2 linked regions of the Xenopus tropicalis genome follow. The protein of the gene in region 1 interacts with the protein of each later gene in a biochemical or structural test. Links are inferred from orthologs where the notes say so. Each region holds a gene or a part of one and is shown on either strand. Other genes may lie near its edges. The genes, in order: ppp2r1b and ppp2r2a.

Region 1 (10,737 bases):
ATCTGACCCGCCACACACCATTCAGGGCTGAATCGGCAGGTAAGGAGGTAGAAACAATAGGATTTCTACCTCCTTCTGCCGATTCAGCGCTGAAGGGAGATTTTGGTCAGGCGCCTTCTACGGCGCCCGATCGGCGAGTCGGCCGATATCAGCAGCTTCCTGCGTTATCGGTCGACTCGCCGACATACCATACACGCACCGAATATCGTACGAAACGAGGTTTCATACAATATTATCGGTGCGTGTATGGCCACCTTTAGAGTGTGCATTTGCCCAGTTGAAGGGAGCTGCCCGATTAAGCAGCAGATAAGCAGCAAATAAGAGTTACACAGTAATTCTCTCCAGAGATCTCCTTGTGTTGCAGGATGTGTGGTGCTGCCAGCAGGTGAGCCTGGCCAGTGGCAGGTGAACTAGAAGGGGAGAGTTAGCAGGGCTCTGTAAGAAGCCCAAGTCCCCTAGCGTGCAGGTTACTGGGGATTGCGAGAAGCCCCGAAAGTTCCAAGAGTGTAAAAGTTACCCTGAATGGTGGTTGGGAAGAGTAAAAATAAAGCCGTGTTTCTATGCTCCTGATCCTCTTGTTTACTTGTCTACCATAGCTTATTCCCCCCTGAAAACTACATGTACAGGCAGATGGAATATAACAGCTGGTAATCTATCTACCTCACAAGGACCAAACATGAAGTAGCTTCAATCTCCAAATTTTTTTTAAAAAAAACACAACAAAAAATGTATTAAAACATTAAGCATTAATCTAATGGCAAAAACTGCTCATTTAAAAGGAGCAGCTCAACTACAAATACTTAATGGTTTTTTTATTTATTTGTATATATAAATGCTATTTAAAGCAGTGTCTGCCTTGTCCTTTCTATTCTTTGCCCTAGTGGCTCTGGCTTTTGAAACATTATAACACAAGCCAGTAGATTGACAGACCTGTCTTGTGTTGATAAAACAAGAAAAATAGGTTATATCTACCTCAGATGTATGAGGCTTTACGCCTAAATAAAGTTTGAGCGTAATGTACTCACTGAACTACGTACCGATAATCATATTGGCAGCAGTTATGGGGATAATAATGCAAATGAAAGACTAAGGAAAGGCATGAGCTGCACGGCTTTAAACCTGCACTGCCTTGAATCATGATTTTCTCTGCCTCTAACCATCTACCTCATCTATGAGGACAACTGAATGCAGTTATAGGGGCAAGCACACCCAATATGGGGGTAGTCAGACCATGATTCCGTCCATTACTATACCCACCTGTAAGAAACGGCAAAAGCTCAGTCCTGGTTCTTTCAACTCCCAATGCTAGAGCGATGGTGGACAGCTTCTTGATACTATTGAGGCGCAGCTGTGAGGAAAATAATAAATGAATATGATAAAACGGTTACTTGGACCATCAGGTGGCCATCCATAGGCAGATTCAACCTTAGGTGGCCAAACAAGCAGATTTTACAGCGTATGGCCACCTTTACACCCCATGAGCGGCAGTGCCATTCAACCAATTTTTCTATACACAAATTTTCTTTCCTCCTAGCTCAGTGTTTGCCAAACCATGGGCAATGCAGTTCTCCATTATGTAGACAAGAACAGTTTTAATGCCTAGGTGCCAATAAGAATCCACTCTCTGGCTTCAAATGACATATTAGCGGGTTCTACTGAACTGGATGCCCCACAGTACATACGTTTTTCGCTTTTTTTTTTTTAATTTGCTGTATAAGTGCACCTTCACAACTGATTAGGAAAGCACAACCATGGGTGCCACTAATGTTTGTGCTATGCTACAAAAGGTCCCCCTATGACAATGCCCCGGTTATCCTGAAACTCATGTCTGCGTACAGCTCACTGGCTAGAAGAAGAGTTAAACAGTGCAATGCCCCATTAGCAAATCTTATGCATAAGCAGCATACAGTTTTTGAATTACTAGAAAGCCTAAAGGTGTTCATCAATATGACTCAATGTGGCCCATTTATCAAAGTACGATTGCCTTTGAATACAAAATTTTTTTTCATTTTCGTACCTTGCGTATTTTTGCCGATTTAGTCGCTATTTTGCGCAACTTTTTCAACTGTGTGTCAAAAATTATGTGACAAAATCGTATTGTCGCGCCAAGTACGAAAGTTTCGTGACACTTATATTGCCCTGTGTGCCACAAGATGTGGGGTGTGTTAGCAGTGTGAATACAGACTGTCATGCCACTCACTAGAGTGGCACAACACTATGTACCATTCCCCTAGGCTGGAAAATACCTTTGTCTTGACAAAAAGGTAATCACACGGTCAGCAAGTGTTTCTGCGTAGTATTCACCATACGGTTAGGTGCAAGGGCAGGGTTTGCTTGATAACCGTTGCCTATTTTTTCCAGCATTTTGTGAGCACCCGGTTATTACTCTTAGGCTCTGAGTTAAGAAGCAGCTCAATATGCAAAGGGGTAGTAATATGGACTAGTAATTTAACTAGTTCCCCTCCTGCATATTAAACAAGCAAAAGGTGTGTACAATTTAAGTTAGTATTCCATTATGAATAAAACCATTAATAGAGAATAGAAAGTTAACAAACTGATAGTTATGCAGCTTTCAGAAGCAAAACCTTTAACATAACCATTTTCATTGAGAATGGATATTCTGGAAGAAAAACTGTAATAAAGTGCTTTAGGTCAATGTTTCCTCTTAGCTGTGCACACACATACATTTTGAGGCCACCACACACAACAAATTGCGCACAAAAAATTTTGTGCAAAAACACAAAAGTTGTATTTATTCTGACCTGAGCACACAAATTAAAAATTAATTCTTTTGAGCCCATAACTAAGACAGAATTAAAGTGGCCATACATATTAAAGGAACAGTAACACTAAAAAATAAAAATGTTTTAAAATAATTAAAATATAATGTACTGTTGCCCTGCACTGGTAGAAGTTGCGTGTTTGCTTCAGAAAGACTACTATAGTTAATAGAAATAGCTGCTGTGTAGCCATGGGGGCAGCCATTTAAATTGAAAGAAGGAGAAAAGGCACAGGTTACATAAGAAGATACCAGATAAACTGTGTAGAATACAATGGGAATCTATGCTACTTATCTGTTGTTATCTGCTTAGTAACCTGTGCCTTTTCTCCTTTTTTCAATTTAAATGGCTGCCCCCATGGCTACACAGCAGGGTATTTATATAACTGCAGTAGTGTTTATGAAGAAAACACACAACTTTTAGCAGGGCAGAGCAATAGTATATAATATATTAATTATTTTTATACACTTTCATTTTTTGGTGTTACTGTTCCTTTAAGAATTTTCTCTCCCTACTGACCAGGTTCAGTGTGACAAATTATCATAAGGGCACTGAACAATCACGCATATAGCATTTTTTCATCTAAAATCAGGCAGGTTTGAAATTTTTTGTTGTTTACAATGATTTTTGTCATTGTCCAAATGTTTGCAGGATCAAGCAGGCAGTTTTACTAGCTTCAACTGGACAATATCGCTTGAAATGGTCATTTTTTTCATGGACAAATCATACTTTTAAACAATTCCAGATAAGCTTGGTCCTAAGATAACTAAGATTGTTTTAAAATCTTAACATTTATGGCCAGCTTAAACCCTTTCACTGCCAACAGCGTATGGATGAAGACTGAAGCAGTCAGTAGCAGATCAGTAATACTAATACTGTTTTTAGCATAGCTTTGTCATGTGTAATTTTGGTGCAGAAAAATAACTTATGCGCTATTTTCATTTTGGGGTCAGTACACACCACAGACTTTGGGATATCTATGCATATTGGGCATCAAACTGTTCAGTAGACCTTAGGTGTTTCTATTTGGGGTGATTTGCCTCTGTATGCAAGAAATTGTGTAAGATAAATGCGGCAAATTGCAACTTTTTTTTCTGAAATGTCATAAAAATCGGCAAACAGGAAAGCTTTACGGCTTGGTACTTTGGAGTAAAAAGAAATGTGTACCCATTATAGATTCAGGGGAATGTGTACTTTCCAAAAATATATGGCTTTCTGGGGTGAGTGTACTTTTTTTTTCCATTATCCCACATAAAGATGTAAAAGGGGCCCCTACATGCCACATATTTGGGTAAACGTATACACACTGGGCATCAAACTGTTCAGTGGACCCTTGGTGTTCAAATTTAGGGTGTTTTATCTTGGTACCTAATGCTATGTGGGAGATAAGATGCTGCAAAGTGGAAGCTTTGAGGGGATTTTTGGAAATGTCATCAAAATTGCTACATTTAGAAAAACTTTGCGGATTGGTACTTTGGAGTAGAAAGACATGGGTACCCATTTTAGATTCGGGGGAATGTGTACTTTCCAAAAAATATATGATTTTCTGGGGTGAGCGTACTTTTTACTAGCTTTATCCCACATATAATGATGTAAATGTGTTGATTTTGCCGGAGCTGAAATGACAGAAATGATAGATCATATGGTGTTATGTTCACTTTGGGGGCCCTACATGCCACATAATTGGGTAAACCTATACATATTGGGCATTAAACTGTTCAGTGGACCCCTGGCGTTCATATTTAGGGTGTTTTATCTTGGTACCTAATGCTATGTGGGAGATAAAATGCTGCAAAGTGGAAGCTTTGAAGTGATTTTTTTAAAAATGTCACAAATTTTGATGATAATAATAATAAATTTAGGAAAGCATTGCGACTTGATAGTTTGGAGTAGACAGACAGTTGTGACTATTCTGGATTCCCCAGAATCTGTTCTTTCCAGAAATGTATAATTTTCTGTTAGTGGATTTTTGGCCTTGAAATCTAAATTACGCAGCTTTCTGAAGCAGTGCTTTCAAAATTTGGTAGTGTACTGCTGGGAGTTTTTGACCTATACAAGTGAGAAATCTTCATAAAGCTATATATATTTGGTATTGGCATGTTCAGGAGACATGGGACTTTCCAAATCAGTTGTATTTTTGTTTCTGGTATGTGTGTTAATATATGTGATTTTTTTTTTTCATTTTTAGACATTTAGAAGCCTATATCTTGTCACAGAGTTGGAATTACACCAAAATCTACCATATTTTGAAAGCTTAGGTTGTCCTGAAAAAAAACAATATATTGTTTTCCTGGGTAAACTAAAAGTCCACCCGAGGAAAGGCCCCTAAACTGAAACAGTGCAAAATGTTCAAAAACTGTCTGGCAGTAGAAATTCCGCTTTGACCAAAACCGCTGGCAGTGAAAGGGTTAAAGGGAATATTGCTCCAGGCAAAGTACTTCCAAAAGACTAGAGACAGTGCAGTTAGGGGTGTGCATTTTGACTGCTTCTGTTTTCCACCTCAAGATGGTCGAAACACTGTGTGACACATTAGCCTAAGGGGTTCAAATACCAACAAAAAGACAGAACATAAAATGTAAAATTGTCTATTAAAATTGCTTTGAATAAATTCTGCAACTAATAAAACCCTGAAAATATCAAAAAAAATAATCAGCACCCATACTAGCAGGAACTATGGGCAGTCTTTTAAAGCATGTTAAAAGTACAAGGAAACCCAAATTCACTTAAGGGTGGCAATATGTTAGGCAACACCCAGTCAAATACATAGTTTAGTGTGGTCCCTGGGCCAGAGATTATTTTGAGGGGGGGGGGGAACCCACACACCGGCCCAGCTTAAATGCAAATACACACCAATATTGCCAACTACTTGCCAGCAACAAGTTCCCTAACCCCTTAGATGTTGCTCCCAGTGGCCTCAAAGCAGATGCTTATTTTTGAATTCCTGGCTTGGAGGCAAGTTTTGGTTGCATAAAAACCAGGTGTCCTGCCAAACAGAGCCTCCTGTTGGATACCAGTAAACATAGCCAATCACAGCCCTTATTTGGCACCCTTATGAACATTTTTCACGCCTGCGTTGCTCCCCAACTCTTTTTACATTTCAGTGTGGCACAAGGGTAAAACAGGTTGGGGATCCCTGACCTAGGCCAATGCAGACCCATCGGGAGTGGGCCTTGTCAACATGCTGATGTGGTCCTTCCTGATTTTCAAACCTGTTCGATAGATATCTGGGGTTTAGCAGATTGGCACCCCTCTAATGAATTTAGGTTTCCTTGACCTTTAAATGATTTGCCCAGCCATAGAATACAAGGATTTTGACAAAAAAGGCCTATTGCCAATACGATGTCACAACAACAGTTTGAAAGAGTAGAATATTTGTCTAAATACAGTGTAAACTACAAAAAAAGCCTTAAAGAAGAATACATATTGGGAATACCAACTGTAAAAGCATGGCTTGTAATCCTTTATTTACAAGAAATCCCACATTTCCCAATGTAACAAGGATGACAAGAAAATGGGCTGAGGGGCAACACATGCCAAATGAATGGCTACTGGGATGCCCCTACATGTATGTAATTGCCAGTCGCTATTTAAGGCCGTTGCATAGCAGGCATTAGAGAAACAAGGCTGAGAACACAATGACTGGCACAATCGCTGCTCGCTATATTGCTGGAACCGCTAATCTCCCAGCATGATCTGAATGCTCTCTTATGGTACGAGCCCGGGGAACTGCAGCATCATCCCAACACCAGAGCACTCCAGCGGAACCAATGGAACGTAAAAGAACTCGGAACAGATAGAAGCCCAAGGTTTCCATATGAAAGAACATTCCTGTACAACTGCTAAAACTGCCATGACAATATCGAATGCACACACACACGCTATGCGCAGAGCCACCGCAGCCCCTCCATGGGTGTGCCCTGCACCACTGACACGCTAGGGGGCTCAACACAGAACTGAGCCGCGGTATAATCGCCTCACCTGTACGTCCTCATTCCTCAGCTCATCGATAAGCACCGCAATGGGATAAAGCGAATCGTCACCGTCAGCTCCTGCCATCTTATCACCGGTATAATGTCGTCCTATTGTCTCGGCACGCCGGCCACTTCCTGCCTAGAAATGAAGCCGAGAGAAGACGCAGGCCCTGAAGCGGATATGACGACACTGGCGGTATAAACCAGGTCACTGACACGCCCCTTTTCGCTTAGGCTTCTTTATAAACAATGCAACGCTATAGAACTGCTGGGAAGTGTAGTGGTTTACAAAGAGGTGCGGAATGGGGACGCGGCACCTGTGCTTAAATGTCCTCATAGTTATATTAATAAGGCGTAAACCTCATTTCCAGACAGATGTGCTGCTCTGCATAGTCCTTATGTTAGTGACCAGAGGTCTATTTATATTTAGCAGACTGTGTTTGCTTTGATCAGGGGAAGTCTGGGGGGAACTGCCTGTGAGCTGGGTGGGTCTGGCGGATTTCCAGATAAACCTCTGTGAAAGCCATGAACTCATTCATGTATTTAGTAACAGTGACACAGAACTTTTGCTTTGCTAGACTGTAGGCAAGGAACATTCATCTGACCCCAGGCACGCCTACTGGCCTATTTCTAATGCCATATGTTTTACACCATAATTTTATTCTTAGAAAACACTTGGTTAAAATAATATCTCTGCTTTGTTAAAATGTGTCATTATACTTAGGGGCTGATTTACTTACCCACGAACGGGTCGAAATGAGTCCGATTGCGTTTTTTTCGTAATGATCGGTATTTTGCGATTTTTTCGGATTCTTTACGAATTTTTCGTTACCAATACGATTTTTGCGTAAAAACGCGAGTTTTTCGTATCCATTACGAAAGTTGCGTAAAAAGTTGCGCATTTTTCGTAGCGTTAAAACTTACGCGAAAAGTTGCGCATTTTTCGCGTAAGTTTTAACGCTACGAAAAATGCGCAACTTTTTACGCAACTTTCGTAATGGATACGAAAAACTCGCGTTTTTACGCAAAAATCGTATTGGTAACGAAAAATTCGTAAAGAATCCGAAAAAATCGCAAAACATACGAAAAAGTCGCAAAATGTTCGTTTTCAAGTCGGAACTTTTCCAATTCGGGTCGGATTCGTGGGTTAGTAAATCAGCCCCTTAGTGTGAGGTGACCTGACTCTAGACTGGCACAGAGATTTACTTAACAGCTGGCACAGGTCATGATCTTGAATTATTATATAGTGTCCGCAGGTTACACAGCCCTTTACATTTATTTATAACAAAAATGGTTTTGGCAAATGACTATCGCATGACAATTGCAGTGTACAAGGTATAAAGATATAGCTATACTTGCAGTTACATCTGCAAGTATAGTTTGGGTCTTGACAATTTCCACACAGTCAGTTTTGCTTTTATTATAGGTATGTACTTTAAAATGAGCTCCTTGCACTTAGTTGGTGCTGCCCAGTCCTTTCATTTCAAATTGGGCACTGCTGTGTCTACTGACACAGTTAATCACAAAACAAAAACTGTAGTATTGTGTTAGGCAAAATATTTTAGAGCTCCGAAAGCTTGCAGTGTATTTTTATTGTTAGCCAATATAGGTATCATTTCTACAATACTCTTGTATTTGTGTTTTTTTTTTTATTATTACTGACCCAGTAAAACCCTGAAGCTACACCAGCCCCCTAACCAGGCGGTAGGTCCCGGGCTCCCTTCGCAAGCACAAAACTGAAGGCAGGAGGGACCAAGAGGTGCAAATAAAAAGCTTTTGCATGCAGCTGCCTGCAAGGAAATTGCATTGAATCCAACAGTGCTTGTGGACATTAATGATCCCTAATGTGTTTTATAAATGAACCACTGAAATTATAGTATAAACTTCATAATAAAGTAATACATAAAAAAGCAATACTAGCTACACTGCTGTGTCAGTCCTAATATGTTCCGCTTCTCTTGTGAACAGAAAGAGCAGACTTGGATAATTATCTCTTACATAGAGAGATATATGGATACAGTCATAGAGGAAAATTGCCAATTACAGCAGCTATGTAACCCGCTGCCATCAGCCTTTTCCTGTGACTGCACCTGGAGCCACTGTGTTTGCCCAGGTGCAAGCATGCGGAACAGATTTCACCAAAACGTTCAAGTATGCATTTCAGTGCCAAAAACACTCCGTGTGCCTGTACCTGGCCTGACATAGTGGCTCCTGGTGCTGTCACAAGAGAAGACTGATGCCTGCATTTACCCCTTTGCACTGTGCAAGGAGTAAATGCAGGTGCTTAGTATATAGTGCTCATTAAATGCTCCAGCTCTTCCGCTTACACTTTATTAAATGAGCTAGCTCATCTCTAGTACTTGCAAATAAAATGCAAATGTGCAATTGGCATTATATTGCTGTATGTGTAAGAACTGGGAAATGCTGTTTGTCATGTCACTATTTGCTTTGCTGCCAAGGAAGTCTGGGTGAAATGTATTTTGTGATAGGAGTCACTGTGGCAAAGGGGGCAAAGGATTTACATGTATTTTATAATAGTAAGGTCCATTTACCATCTGTGAGACAGATAAGTAAAGTGACCATCCTATTTCATTATTTGTTGCTTTTTATATAACTGTTATGTAAATATTTCATTGTAAAACCCATCCAAGCAATCCAGTTTTAAAGTTTTTGTTCTATGTTATGTGAACCGTTATATATCTCTCTATTTAAGTCAAACATAATAAAGAAGTTATGGGAAGTAACAGTGTTTAGAAATTGACGACCTACAACAATAGAAAATCCCCCCTCACAATTAGGAAAATGCAAAACTGGAAAAAAATTTGAAAAAAGTAAGTCAGGGTGTACTAAAAAAAACATTAGAATGTAAATTGCCATTGGGATGGCATACGCGTCACTGCGATATCCCGCAGTCACCCCAAGTTTCCTCTGAAGACACCTAAGATTTGTCGTGGGCGACTAATCTCCCCGCAATGCCATCCCTCCGGCTAGAATGTAAATTGCAGGTGGGATGGCATACGCGTCGCTGCAATGTCCCGCAGTTGCCCAAAGTTGTCTTTATACATGATTATTACAATGCCCCAGATGCAGGCCCCCTTAAGGTTGAAGACACATGGAGCTACTAGTAGCAGCTATTTGTTACGGCTACTAAAACAAACAATCCTGATTATTACTAATAATTGTCTCTGTGTGTTTTAGCAGAGGCAATTCTCTGTATTGTCTATGGCGGGGTATTCTTTGGCATTTAGTAGTAGTGACAAGTAGCTGCTACTAAGTAGCTCCGTGTGTCTTCACCCTTAGGGCAATGGCAGGCAAAGAAATGAGCAAGTTCTTAATAAAGAAGCAAACTTAATTTGTTACATATTTACAGTATATTCATTTATATGCACATATTTTAGGACGATGAATAAAGCTGCCCTTTCACAAGCTGACATTCGCTGCCAACTCCATACCAAATTGGCAGCTTTATGGCCCGTATACAGTGCCCTCCATAATGTTTGGGACAGTTGGCTCTACAGGTGTTTGTGGTAACTCAGGTGTGTTGCATTGCTTAATTAGTGTAGAGATAAGATACCTAGGCTGCTTCTACCAATTGGAGTCTGTAGTTGCCTTTGTTCAACATGAGGAGAAAAGCTGTGGCAAGGAAAGTCAAGGAAGCTATTTTGAGGCTGAAAAACAAAAATAAAACCCTTAGAGACATCAATCAAACCTTAGGATTACCAAAATTATCTGGATTATTATTAAGAAAAAAGAATGCACTGATGAGCTCTGTAATCGCAAAGAGACTGATAGGCCAAGGAAGGCCTCCACTGCTGATGACAGAAGAATCCTCACTATGGTAAAGAAAAATCGCCTGTCCAACAGATCAGAAACACTTTTCATGAGGTATGAGTGTCAGAGACTACTATCCACAACTATCCACTGACTTCACGAACGGAAATACTAAGGGTAAACTGCAAGATGCAAACCACTAGTTAGCCACAAAA
Region 2 (10,502 bases), on another chromosome or scaffold:
GATATCTAGGGCTGGTGCGTGAATTTTTTCATACATAAGCAGGGCTGAGATGGCAGGGGCCCACCAGAAAACCCTGGACCATGGGCCCACTCTCAAAACTTTAATTCCTCCTCTCCTACCTCAAACTCTTTATTCTCCAAGTCCTCCTCCAAGTCTTCTTGTTCCCATACAGAAATAGGGAATGACCATGAAATAGGCTAAATAGAAGCAAGAGGGCCCACTGACACCTGGACCCACCAGGAGTTTTCCTGGTATCCCGGTGGGCCAGTCCGACACTGTACATAAGCCCACTCAGGTCAAGTCTTGACAATATCAGGCCCAGACTGACAATCTGTGAGTTTTGGCAAATGCCAGAGGGGCTGCTGTAAGATGCCATAGACACTCACTATTTATTGGGCTGGGGGGGGGGCTGTTTGGACCTCTGTGTACTTGAAATGCCAGGGACTATTTTGAATCTCAATCTGGAACTGGTCCAACCATCTTGGTACATATGGCACATTCTCTAGGTGAGCACAACAGAGACCGTTTCCGCACACCCTGGCTCTCCAAAATTGAACGCCCGGTGCACTCTGCTAGAGGGATCGGCACCCTCCCAAAACTGCAAAGCAACAAAAAGCAAAAGCACTCAGGGCTACAAGGGAAAACCCTTTAGAAAATTTATTGCGGAGGTGCAACGTTTCGGAGCAAACCTAGCCCCTTGCTTGATAAAGGGGCTAGGTTTGCTCCGAAACGTTGCACCTCCGCAATAAATTTTCTAAAGGGTTTTCCCTTGTAGCCCTGAGTGCTTTTGCTTTTTGTTACATTCTCTAGGTGCCCAAGCTGATTATAATAGAAGGCCCATATAAATAACTAGAATCACTTTTTCCATATTCCTCTGGCCCCCAACCCTCTCTGGAGATGTTGCTTGGCAGAGCTTCATGCGATGGCAGCTATATAAGAGAATACCCAGGATTGTACAGTCTTGTAGCAGGTGAAGAAGCCTTAGGGGCCTATTCATTAAAGTACGATTGAGTCTGAATACTAAAAATTTGTATTTTTTACGAACTGTGCGTATTTTATAAAATATTTTCCTTAATTTCTGCAACTTTTTCATACTTTGTGACAATTTATGCGACAAAATCTTATTTGTTGCAGTGAGTATGAAAGTTTTGTTATTCAATCAAGCTTCGGTATGGTGACTTTCCTTGGGCCGGGTTGGAGCTGCAGAGTGCCATTGAGCCCTATGGGAGACTTTCCTTGGGCCGGGTTGGAGCTGCAGAGTGCCATTGAGCCCTATGGGAGGCTTTCCTTGGGCCGGGTTGGAGCTGCAGAGTGCCATTGAGCCCTATGGGAGACTTTCCTTGGGCCAAGTTGGAGCTGCAGAGTGCCATTGAGCCCTATGGGAGACTTTCCTTGGGCCGGGTTGGAGCTGCAGAGTGCCATTGAGCCCTATGGGAGACTTTCCTTGGGCCGGGTTGGAGCTGCAGAGTGCCATTGAGCCCTATGGGAGACTTTCCTTGGGCCGGGTTGGAGCTGCAGAGTGCCATTGAGCCCTATGGGAGACTTTCCTTGGGCCAGGTTGGAGCTGCAGAGTGCCATTGAGCCCTATGGGAGACTTTCCTTGTGCAGGGTTGGAGCTGCAGAGTGCCATTGAGCCCTATGGGAGACTTTCCTTGGGCCGGGTTGGAGCTGCAGAGTGCCATTGATCCCTATGGGAGACTTTCCTTGGGCCGGGTTGGAGCTGCAGAGTGCCATTGAGCCCTATGGGAGACTTTCCTTGGGCCGGGTTGGAGCTGCAGAGTGCCATTGAGCCCTATGGAAGACTTTCCTTGGGCCGGGTTGGAGCTGCAGAGTGCCATTGAGCCCTATGGGAGACTTTCCTTGGGCCGGGTTGGAGCTGCAGAGTGCCATTGAGCCCTATGGGAGACTTTCCTTGGGCCAGGTTGGAGCTGCAGAGTGCCATTGATCCCTATGGGTGGCTTCCAAAATCATGCACCGAAGGATCAAAGTCAGAAAGTTTTTTGCGCCATTTAAGATCGGTCAGATACGAAAATTTTGGAACTTTCTAAGCGTACCATGATATTTTTGTATGACCACGATCTGAAATTTTTGCGCTTTTAATGCACATCAGAAATTATCAGATTTAGTCCAAATTTTTTCTAATGTACTTTTAAAAGTCCGAAATTTAGACTTTGATAAATGGGCCCCCAGTGTAGCTACTGGGCATGTAAAAGTGTAATTGCCACTATGATGGTCAGGTAGGATATGCAGAACCAGGCCCGGATTTGTGGAGAGGCCACGAAGGCCCGGGCCTAGGGCGGCAGATATGTAGGGGCGGCATGCCGCCCCGCCACAACAGAATTTTAAAAGTTTTTTTCAATACAGAGCAGTGAGAACTTCTCCCCACTGCTCCATATGGGGCTTTAAATGTATGCGCATGCGTGCTCGCACAGGGGGGCGGGGTGAGCGGTTGTTCGCTCGTTCGCGCATGCACGTTGGGGGGGTGATCAACGGGCGTGGCCTAGGGGTGCCCAAAAGACAAATCCGGCCCTGTGCAGAACTCCTTTTCATCCCTCTGCAAGCCCATAGCTGATGCTGCTTCTACCATCAGGGTGGGAAGTGGACAACATGCCAGTAGGCAGTCGGTCTGATTGGGTAAAAATATGGGATGCTAGTGGGGTTCATTCAGTTAGCCCCCTGAATGTAAGTCTTTTGCCCACAACATGCCTACTTTTCTACCCGTGCCCACACAGGAGGATTCATTTTACACAGGTTTTGAACTGGCAGTCAGTATTCCTTAGTCTTTTGTCTTAAAGGCAGACTGGCCTACAGCATACCAGAAAAAATCCCGGTGGGCCCAGGAGTCAGTGGCCTTCTTGCTTCTATTTATTTATCCGATTTGATGGTCATTCCCTATTTCTGTATGGGAACATGGAAGTTAAATGGATGGAAGAATAGAGTATAGTATGCAGAGAGACTAGGATAATAAATGGTTTGAAGGAGGAGAGGATTATTTTTATTATTATTAACATTTATTTATAAAGCGCCAACATATTCCGCAGCACTGTACAATAAGTGGGTTACATACATTGGACATACAGAGTAACATATAAAGCAACCAATAACCGATACAGGAGGTGGAGGGCCCTGCCCAAAAGAGCTTACAATCTACAAGATGAATTAAAGTTTTGAGAGTGGGCCCATTGCCCAGGGTTTTCTGGTGGGCCCCTGCCATCTCAGTCCGACACTGCAACACCAGTCAAAAAGTAATTTTACATGACATTTTAAAGAGGAGACTACTGTCAGAGTTGGTAGGTGTGGGTTAGGTGTGCTGGGTTTACTTGGATGGGTTGAACTTGATGGACACTGGTCTTTTTTCAACTCTATGTAACTATGTAACTATGTAACTATGTAACTAAGAGTTCATGGGGGATCATGACGACACGCCGCACACAACACTGGGACCCATGGTGTTTAATACTAAAGCACAAGCCCAGAGACGCAGATTTCTCTCAGTGGGCTAAGGGCCAGTTATTGTTGAGCCCCACACACAGCCCTTTCCCAGTCACTGAGAGAATCCCTCACGGCACAGAGAGAAAGGAAGAGGCGTCAATCACAGGGACAGCGTGACGTATTGGCCCCGCCCCGCCGGCCGCTCCTCCCCTTTGTCTCTACCCAGTGACGTCACCGTGCCTACGGCCTCCATCTTGAAGCCGCGGTCTCAGAGTCCGGTCCTCCCGCCCCGGGCAGCGGCCTCCCCCGGTATCCGCCTCCATCCGGAGCCCGGGACCAGCAGTGGCCAGGGGCAGCATGGCGGGTGAGACAGCTGGAATGGCGGGGATGCATGGAGGGGGGCATTTGTAATGGCCGGGTACAATTGGCCAGTGTTTGGATGCCGTGTGAGGGCTGTGCAGCGGGGAGGCGCCGGCCTGTTCCATTGCAGTAGGGATGCTCAGCCTGCCCGCAGTGCCGGGGATAGCAGGGGGCGGCCATTAGCTGGCAGTGCCGGGGGGCTAATAGAATGAGGGCTGCATCCCCTGCAGCTGCTTTTGTGCTACCTTCCCATTCAGCTGCCGGGCGGGGAGTCGCAGTGCAACAGCTGGAGGGCAGCAGGCCGGCCGTGTAGTACAAAAGCAGGGCGTCCCTCCTTCTAGCAGCCCCTCTCCCGGCTTTTCCCACCTACCCCCTGTGGGGGCAAATCCCTTTCTGTGCCCAGGCCTGTGAGTGCTAGGGTATCTGCCCTCAGGCCTGGGCTACTGGAAGGGCCACAAAGGCCCAGGCTTAGGGGGGTGGCCACCCCATTATTCTCCACATTAATTACATTGCAAACAAGGGCATGGGGGGGGCAGCTGTCAAATCTCTGTTATAGCTAGCCATGTAGCGAGAATCTGCCGAGCCAATTGGGCTTCTAGGGCAAGGAAGGTAAGTTTGGCTCTGATTACCATTCAAATCAATGGAGAATGGTTGCCCATTGATCTGGAGATGGCATGGCTGGCAATCACCTTGTGTGTATCATTGCCCTCAAACCATCCAGCTGCTGAGGGTGCCCCCGTATCCTTGTAGATCATGTAATCAGTGTGGGAGCCATCTGAGCAGCCACCCTCTTTGTACATAGAGCTGTGTGGGCCAGCGGCCGTGCCGGGTTTCTGTGCTGTGTGGGAGGTACGTACAGGCCACACTGGCGCTTTCACTGCTGCACTTTGTTCAACTACATCTGCAACAAAAGGGAAAAGAATACCCCAGTTGTCTGGGAAGGTTTGCATTCTGCTGAATCTTTCATGTCATGTGACTTGAGAGTAAAGGAGAACTTAAGCCTACACATTTTTAGTCCATTTTGCTCATATTTGAATGCAAATTAGAGGTTAAGTTTAGTTAGCGATTGGGCAGAACCTGCTATGAGGGTTTTATGTATTTGTCCAGAAGCACTTGATGCCATTTACTGGTTATTAGATGAATGCACCTATGTATCATCATGCTCGGCGCTCAGTGTTGTTAAGGAAAATATTTGTGTTATTAGCAGGGCTGGCACAGAATGTCCTTGTTCTTTAATGTTTAGTCATGTGATTAGTACAGCGTTAATTAGTGTGAGCATACACGCAGGGATGTATGTATTTACTAGGGTGGATGTATGTATGCAAACATTCACGTGTCACAACAGAAAGGGAGCAAATTTTCTTGGCGTGGTGTTGAATAAACATGATCTCTTGCCTACGTCAGAAAGATGCCTCCCTGTTTAACCTTGTGAATGAGGCGCGTATTCCATCAGGTGCATTGTGGGTAGGCGGTTTTTAGAGGCCGGCTTAGAGCCACACTGGGTGAATTTCCAGTAATAATTATATATAGTGAGAAGTCTCCCAGTATATGTCCAGCCCATGCTTATGGAACCTGCCCTGAAGCATTCACTTCTGTGCTCTCCTGATTGGCTTATTTAGGGCAAAACTGTCCAATCAGATATGGTCTGGTTTCAAGGGCTCCATAGAATGCTTTGTATGAACTCCTCATTTAAATGTACGTACCACTCCCCTCCACACACACACGTTAAAAGTTGCACAGCTCTGATTTAGGGTCAATGGAACTGTGTAGCTTGTACACCACAAGGCCATTGGCATACGATGCTTCACTGTGCCACCTGATGTGAATGGAAACCGCCTGTAACTGCTTGTTTCAGACATTGTGTGGCCTTCATGTTGGTGACATTGGGCACAAAGAGATATTGGTGTATCTGCACTGATAATGAAGCGCTATTACCCCAAAGATAACTTTCTAATCCGCAGTTACTAAAGCAACTCCGCACTAAGTAATGGTAGGCTTTATAGCACTGTGCCGGGCAACTCACATTCTCTGCTGGTCACTAGGTTTTAGCAACAACACCAATAGGTATGAATTCAGGTATCCAGAAGTACAACTGAAGGGCACTGACTGACAAGCAGTTTCAATATACATCTGTGAAAAGTGTCTTGTACCTAAAGTAAGAGCGCCATAAAATGATTTTGCTGTTGGGGCCCAGTAATTACCCCAGCAGGGGGACAGTTTAGAAGGGTTATACTTGCTGTTTTTAACACAAAAAAGTACTATAGAAAGCCTAGGTGGCCAGCCATTGTCATTCAGCTAAATGTTATTAATTAAAAAAAGCCAAAAATGCTTTATCATCTGAATTAGGCCTATTTTGGTTTAATTGTAAAGGAGTAGATGGCAAATGTTAGGCACACCCAGTGATTGTAATCATGTACCTGATACCCTGGGCAGCTTCTGGTAGCAGAAAACTGCCCCAAGCCAGGGTACTTTAGAAAAATCATTCTACCTGATCAAATCTTCTCCACACAGGGTGGGCTTGCGCAGTAGAGTGAAAAGCTGAACTATTGGCAAAAAGCCGACTTTCTCACTCTACTGCACGTGTCAGCTCAGCCTATAGAAGAAAGAAAAAGTGGAAGGAGGCAATCACCCCATGGTCCTTGCTCAGAAATACCCCCAGCCCGTGCAGTTTTCTGCTAATAGGAGCACCAGCCCAGGGAATCACAGGCACCCCCCTCTCATTTAACCTCTTCTTCTCCTTTAATGTTGCCAAAATGAATTTTCAGAATAAAAAAAGCAAACATTTAACAGTTTGCATACCCCAAGCCCAAATAAGAGGCCCCTGCGCAGCAGTCGGATATCCTGTTCCCAATGTGCAAACAGGAGATGCATCCTTTGGCCCTTCAGTGCACATCTCTCTCCAGATGCCTGTTGCCTCCAGTTATTTGCTTATCCACAATAAATGCTGTATTCTCTCCTGCCCTTTCTTCCTTATCTGACAATTCCGCTTCCTCCCTTTGTGAGAAGAACGCAGACAACTCAGTGCCACTTTCTTTTCCTTATGTAGCTCACCCACACTGTAGCCATGTAAAATCACCCTCAGCACAGAGCCCATGATAAATAATACTTGGCACCTAGGTTACTATATCCCAACACTCCTTATAGGATGAGGGTTTTTTAAACCTGTAGCCAGTCAGCTTTGTCTGCATACCCCCTGTCAGGCCCTCGAAATCATTGGCTGCCCATTTACAAGAAAGGTCTTCGCTGGCATCCCACAGAGTGCTGCCGAGAGCAGCCAGTGGTGTCAAGTGGTTGGGTTAAGTAGTAAGCTTTTTAGGAGATTAAGCAGTAAAATGGAAAATGCTGCTTTTGGCACTGTATGTCCGCTTGCTCACACTTTTCATGCATACTGATCCCTGTTTGACTGAACTTTGTGATTGCTTGTCTAATGGTAGGGCCTCAAAATGATCTCATGCAAGGACAAATGGCCCTTATGGCAGATACACGTGATATATACATGTTAATAACCCTTTTCTAAGCTAAGGGTGTCCCAATGAATGTTGTCTCAAAGGAACAGTAACACCAAATAAAGAAACTGTATCAAAGTATTTCAAATGTAATGTGTGTGTTGGTGAAAGTGTTTGCTACTATATTTATATAAATACCCAGCTGTGTAGCCAGTGGAGCTGCCATTCAAGCAGGGGAAAAAAGGAGAAAAGGCAAAGGTTACATAGCAGATAACAGATGAAGTCCAATTATATTCTACAGAGCTTATCTGCTATGTAACCTGTGCCTTTTCTCCCGTTTTCCAGCTTGAATGGCTGCCCCCCTGGCTATAGAGCAGGGTATTTATATATAAAATATAGTAGTTTTTCTGAGGCAAACACACCAGTTGTGCCTGCGCAGGGCAGCCATACCTTATATTTGAGATACTTTGATACAGTTTCATTTTCTGGTGTTACTGTTCCTTTAAAAGGGGCTTCACCAGGTAACCACTCCTGTAGGATGTAGCATACATTATGCTGGGATACTTTTAGGTCATCTTATTTTACATGGTTCTTTTTAATGTAATATTGAGTGATTCTAAAGTCTAGAAAGCATGAAGTTCCCAGTATATATATTGTGAAAGTGAAATTCCTGCTGCATGTTGGCGCTTGGCAGAGTGCAGATCCAGTTGTGCAGCTGCAGCCGTTGTGCCATGCTAGGAGGCGCCTCCTTGCTCCCTCTCCCGAGGCTGGAGGAGTTGTGAGAATGAGACTCAGCTCCTTCCTGTGTTGGCGGAACTAGAAACAGTCATTGTGAGGGTGGTGCAGGATCTGGGTGAATTGCGGCTGTGTTCCCAGGAGCAATGTTCCTGAAGTTCTCCCCACGAGCTGGCTTTCTGGGTAGCCTTTAGCACACTGGATCTTTGTGCCTGGGGAATGGGTTGGGGCAGCAGTAGGCTTTCTCATTTCTCTTAGAACTTTTCCTTTCTTTCTTTCCCTGCATGATTACACTGTCACTTTCTTGCACACCAGGAGACGTAAAAGTCCTTTTTATGGCTCGTATTGTTGATGTTGGTTACAAATTAGGGAGCCAGTGGTGTGTGGAGATTTTTGAGGTAATTGGGTGCCTTTTGAAGTTGAAGAAGTTTCACTTCATGTGAAATCCGAGTGGGGCGTAGGCAGGTTGTAGCATAGTAGGTTTTGGAGTCCCAGCCATGCAGGAACATGTTCATGTCTAAATTCATTATTTGAAAACGTCATGTAGGCATGCAGTTCAGCGAGCGCTTCAGTCACTTTGCTTTTTGCAAACTTTTGCTTTGTGGCCCCAGAGAGGTGGAGCAGCCTCTTCTTACTATAATACCATTCTCCTATTGTCTTTAGCCTCCTGTGGTCAAGCAGTTTATTTTCTACAGCATCTTTGTGGGCTTGCTCATAAACAACTGTGAGTAATGGCCCTGACATTTCTCATGCTTGCGTAGCTGCTCAAAAAGGTGCCATGAAAAATGAACTTGTTTTAGAGGCAGCAGCAAAGACAAACTAGAGACTTCTGAATTATACGTGTTATTTAGGAACCATACTGGGTTCTTGTGGCTCCATTGTGCCATTTATGGGGTGATTTGCTTTTGAGGTCAATCTATGCCACCTTTTTAGCAGTGTGTTTGCTATGGGGCTTTGTGCTGCTGTGATATTTGTGCACGTGGTTAAGCTTCTGGGTGCTGTCATGTTTCTTTTTACGTCTCTGTACTCATTCTACTGCAAGTCTCTGTCCTGGCTTCCAGGAAACACATTAAAGCCCTTGTGTATAAATACTGCCTCTCCATTGTTCCTTAGCTTATACCTTTCTTTCCTTCCTTTCTTTTATTCCTCTGGCCACTACCAAGAAGAAAATATTAAAACACCAACCCTTCTCTTTATCTGTCACATCCATTATGTCAGCTCCAGACAAACACATTTCTAGTCCATTAATTCCTGCATTGGCTCTGATTTTCTCTATCTGATGGATAACTACTGACCGGCACCGCCGATAGCTCAGGATTCTTTGGTTTGTGCTCAGCATCTTTGGTTCAACAGACTGCCTAGCACAGCTTCATAGTGTTATCTCCCTAGACCCCTATTTATATGGGAAAGTGTCTGCTTGATTGTTGGGGTAGACTGTCATGGAGGTGATTACAAATGTCTTACACTAATTTCTATTCCATCTTGTAGGAGCTGGTGGAGGCAATGATATTCAGTGGTGTTTTTCTCAGGTCAAGGGAGCAGTGGAGGATGATGTATCTGAAGGTAAGTCTCTTTCACTTGAACCTTCTTGAGTAGGCCTGTAAAATATGCAGTGTTTCAGCTCCCAATTTTGTGTAAGAGCATATGGCTCATGGAAGCACATGTATGAAAATAGAGTGCTTTATTCCTTTCAGCCCGGGGTGACATTATTTGGCATGGTAATAGGGGGGGCCCAGAGCTCCACTGAATTTATACAAGCAAGCCTTGTATAAGGGCCAGTTTAAACATCACTCTGCTGGGCTGCTTTACATCAGGGAGTTGGGCCCCTTGTTAAAACACAAGGAATAATTAATGGTGCAAAATACAGGTTAAATACTGCAGGAGACCATGTTCCAGTCTGCTAAAAGCTAAACCTTGGTGGGGAGGTTCTTATTTCAGTGGGACTATGATCCCAATCACAAGGCAAACTTACACTGGAGTCCGTATCCCAATACAATTGGGAATATGGGGCACAAGACAACTAACCTGAATCCTACTAACAAACTGATTCACCTATTAAAAAGGAGCAATGGGGAAGGAGAACAATTAGATGTCAGCTTTAAGATGGTCAGTTTTACCTGTTTCTACTATGCACCATACATGCATTAATGCATTAAGTAATTGTTTTTTCATAATTATTGGTACTATGGCTCAGTTGGTTCACAAACTGTGCAGATTTGTATATTTCATCTGCTGATGCACCATGTTGGCCAGTTCATGGTCCATCTGTGTAGATAAGGAAGTAAAGAGGAGATTTTTACTTCCTGCTGTTTTGATTGATTGAACAATCGGAACAATAGGAAGGAGGCCATACCATGCGTTGCCCCTTATACGCTATATGGCCACTAGGGCTAAGAGTGCTATTTGTAGCTCGTGGTTTGTCACAGCTACAAAACTCCAAAAAATATACCCTGCCATAGACCTTACTGAAAATTATTTGCTTTAACACTCAAATCGTGTAATCACTCTCCTTTGTATCCATTTGTGAGC

Evidence for each region.
Region 2: the proteins of ppp2r1b (region 1) and ppp2r2a form a complex in vitro, tested with the Homo sapiens proteins (2 studies listed by BioGRID). The link is inferred for Xenopus tropicalis from reciprocal best matches to the Homo sapiens genes PPP2R1B and PPP2R2A.

What each region holds. Positions count from the first base shown.
Region 1 is NC_030683.2:84,354,431-84,365,167, forward strand, and holds the start of ppp2r1b (serine/threonine-protein phosphatase 2A 65 kDa regulatory subunit A beta isoform), read right to left. Parts: upstream 6,895-10,737; 5' UTR 6,837-6,894; coding exon 6,759-6,836; intron 1,349-6,758; coding exon 1,258-1,348; intron 1-1,257. UniProt on the Homo sapiens protein: The PR65 subunit of protein phosphatase 2A serves as a scaffolding molecule to coordinate the assembly of the catalytic subunit and a variable regulatory B subunit.
Region 2 is NC_030679.2:127,956,263-127,966,764, forward strand, and holds the start of ppp2r2a (serine/threonine-protein phosphatase 2A 55 kDa regulatory subunit B alpha isoform), read left to right. Parts: upstream 1-3,662; 5' UTR 3,663-3,789; coding exon 3,790-3,796; intron 3,797-9,461; coding exon 9,462-9,536; intron 9,537-10,502. UniProt on the Homo sapiens protein: Substrate-recognition subunit of protein phosphatase 2A (PP2A) that plays a key role in cell cycle by controlling mitosis entry and exit. Involved in chromosome clustering during late mitosis by mediating dephosphorylation of MKI67.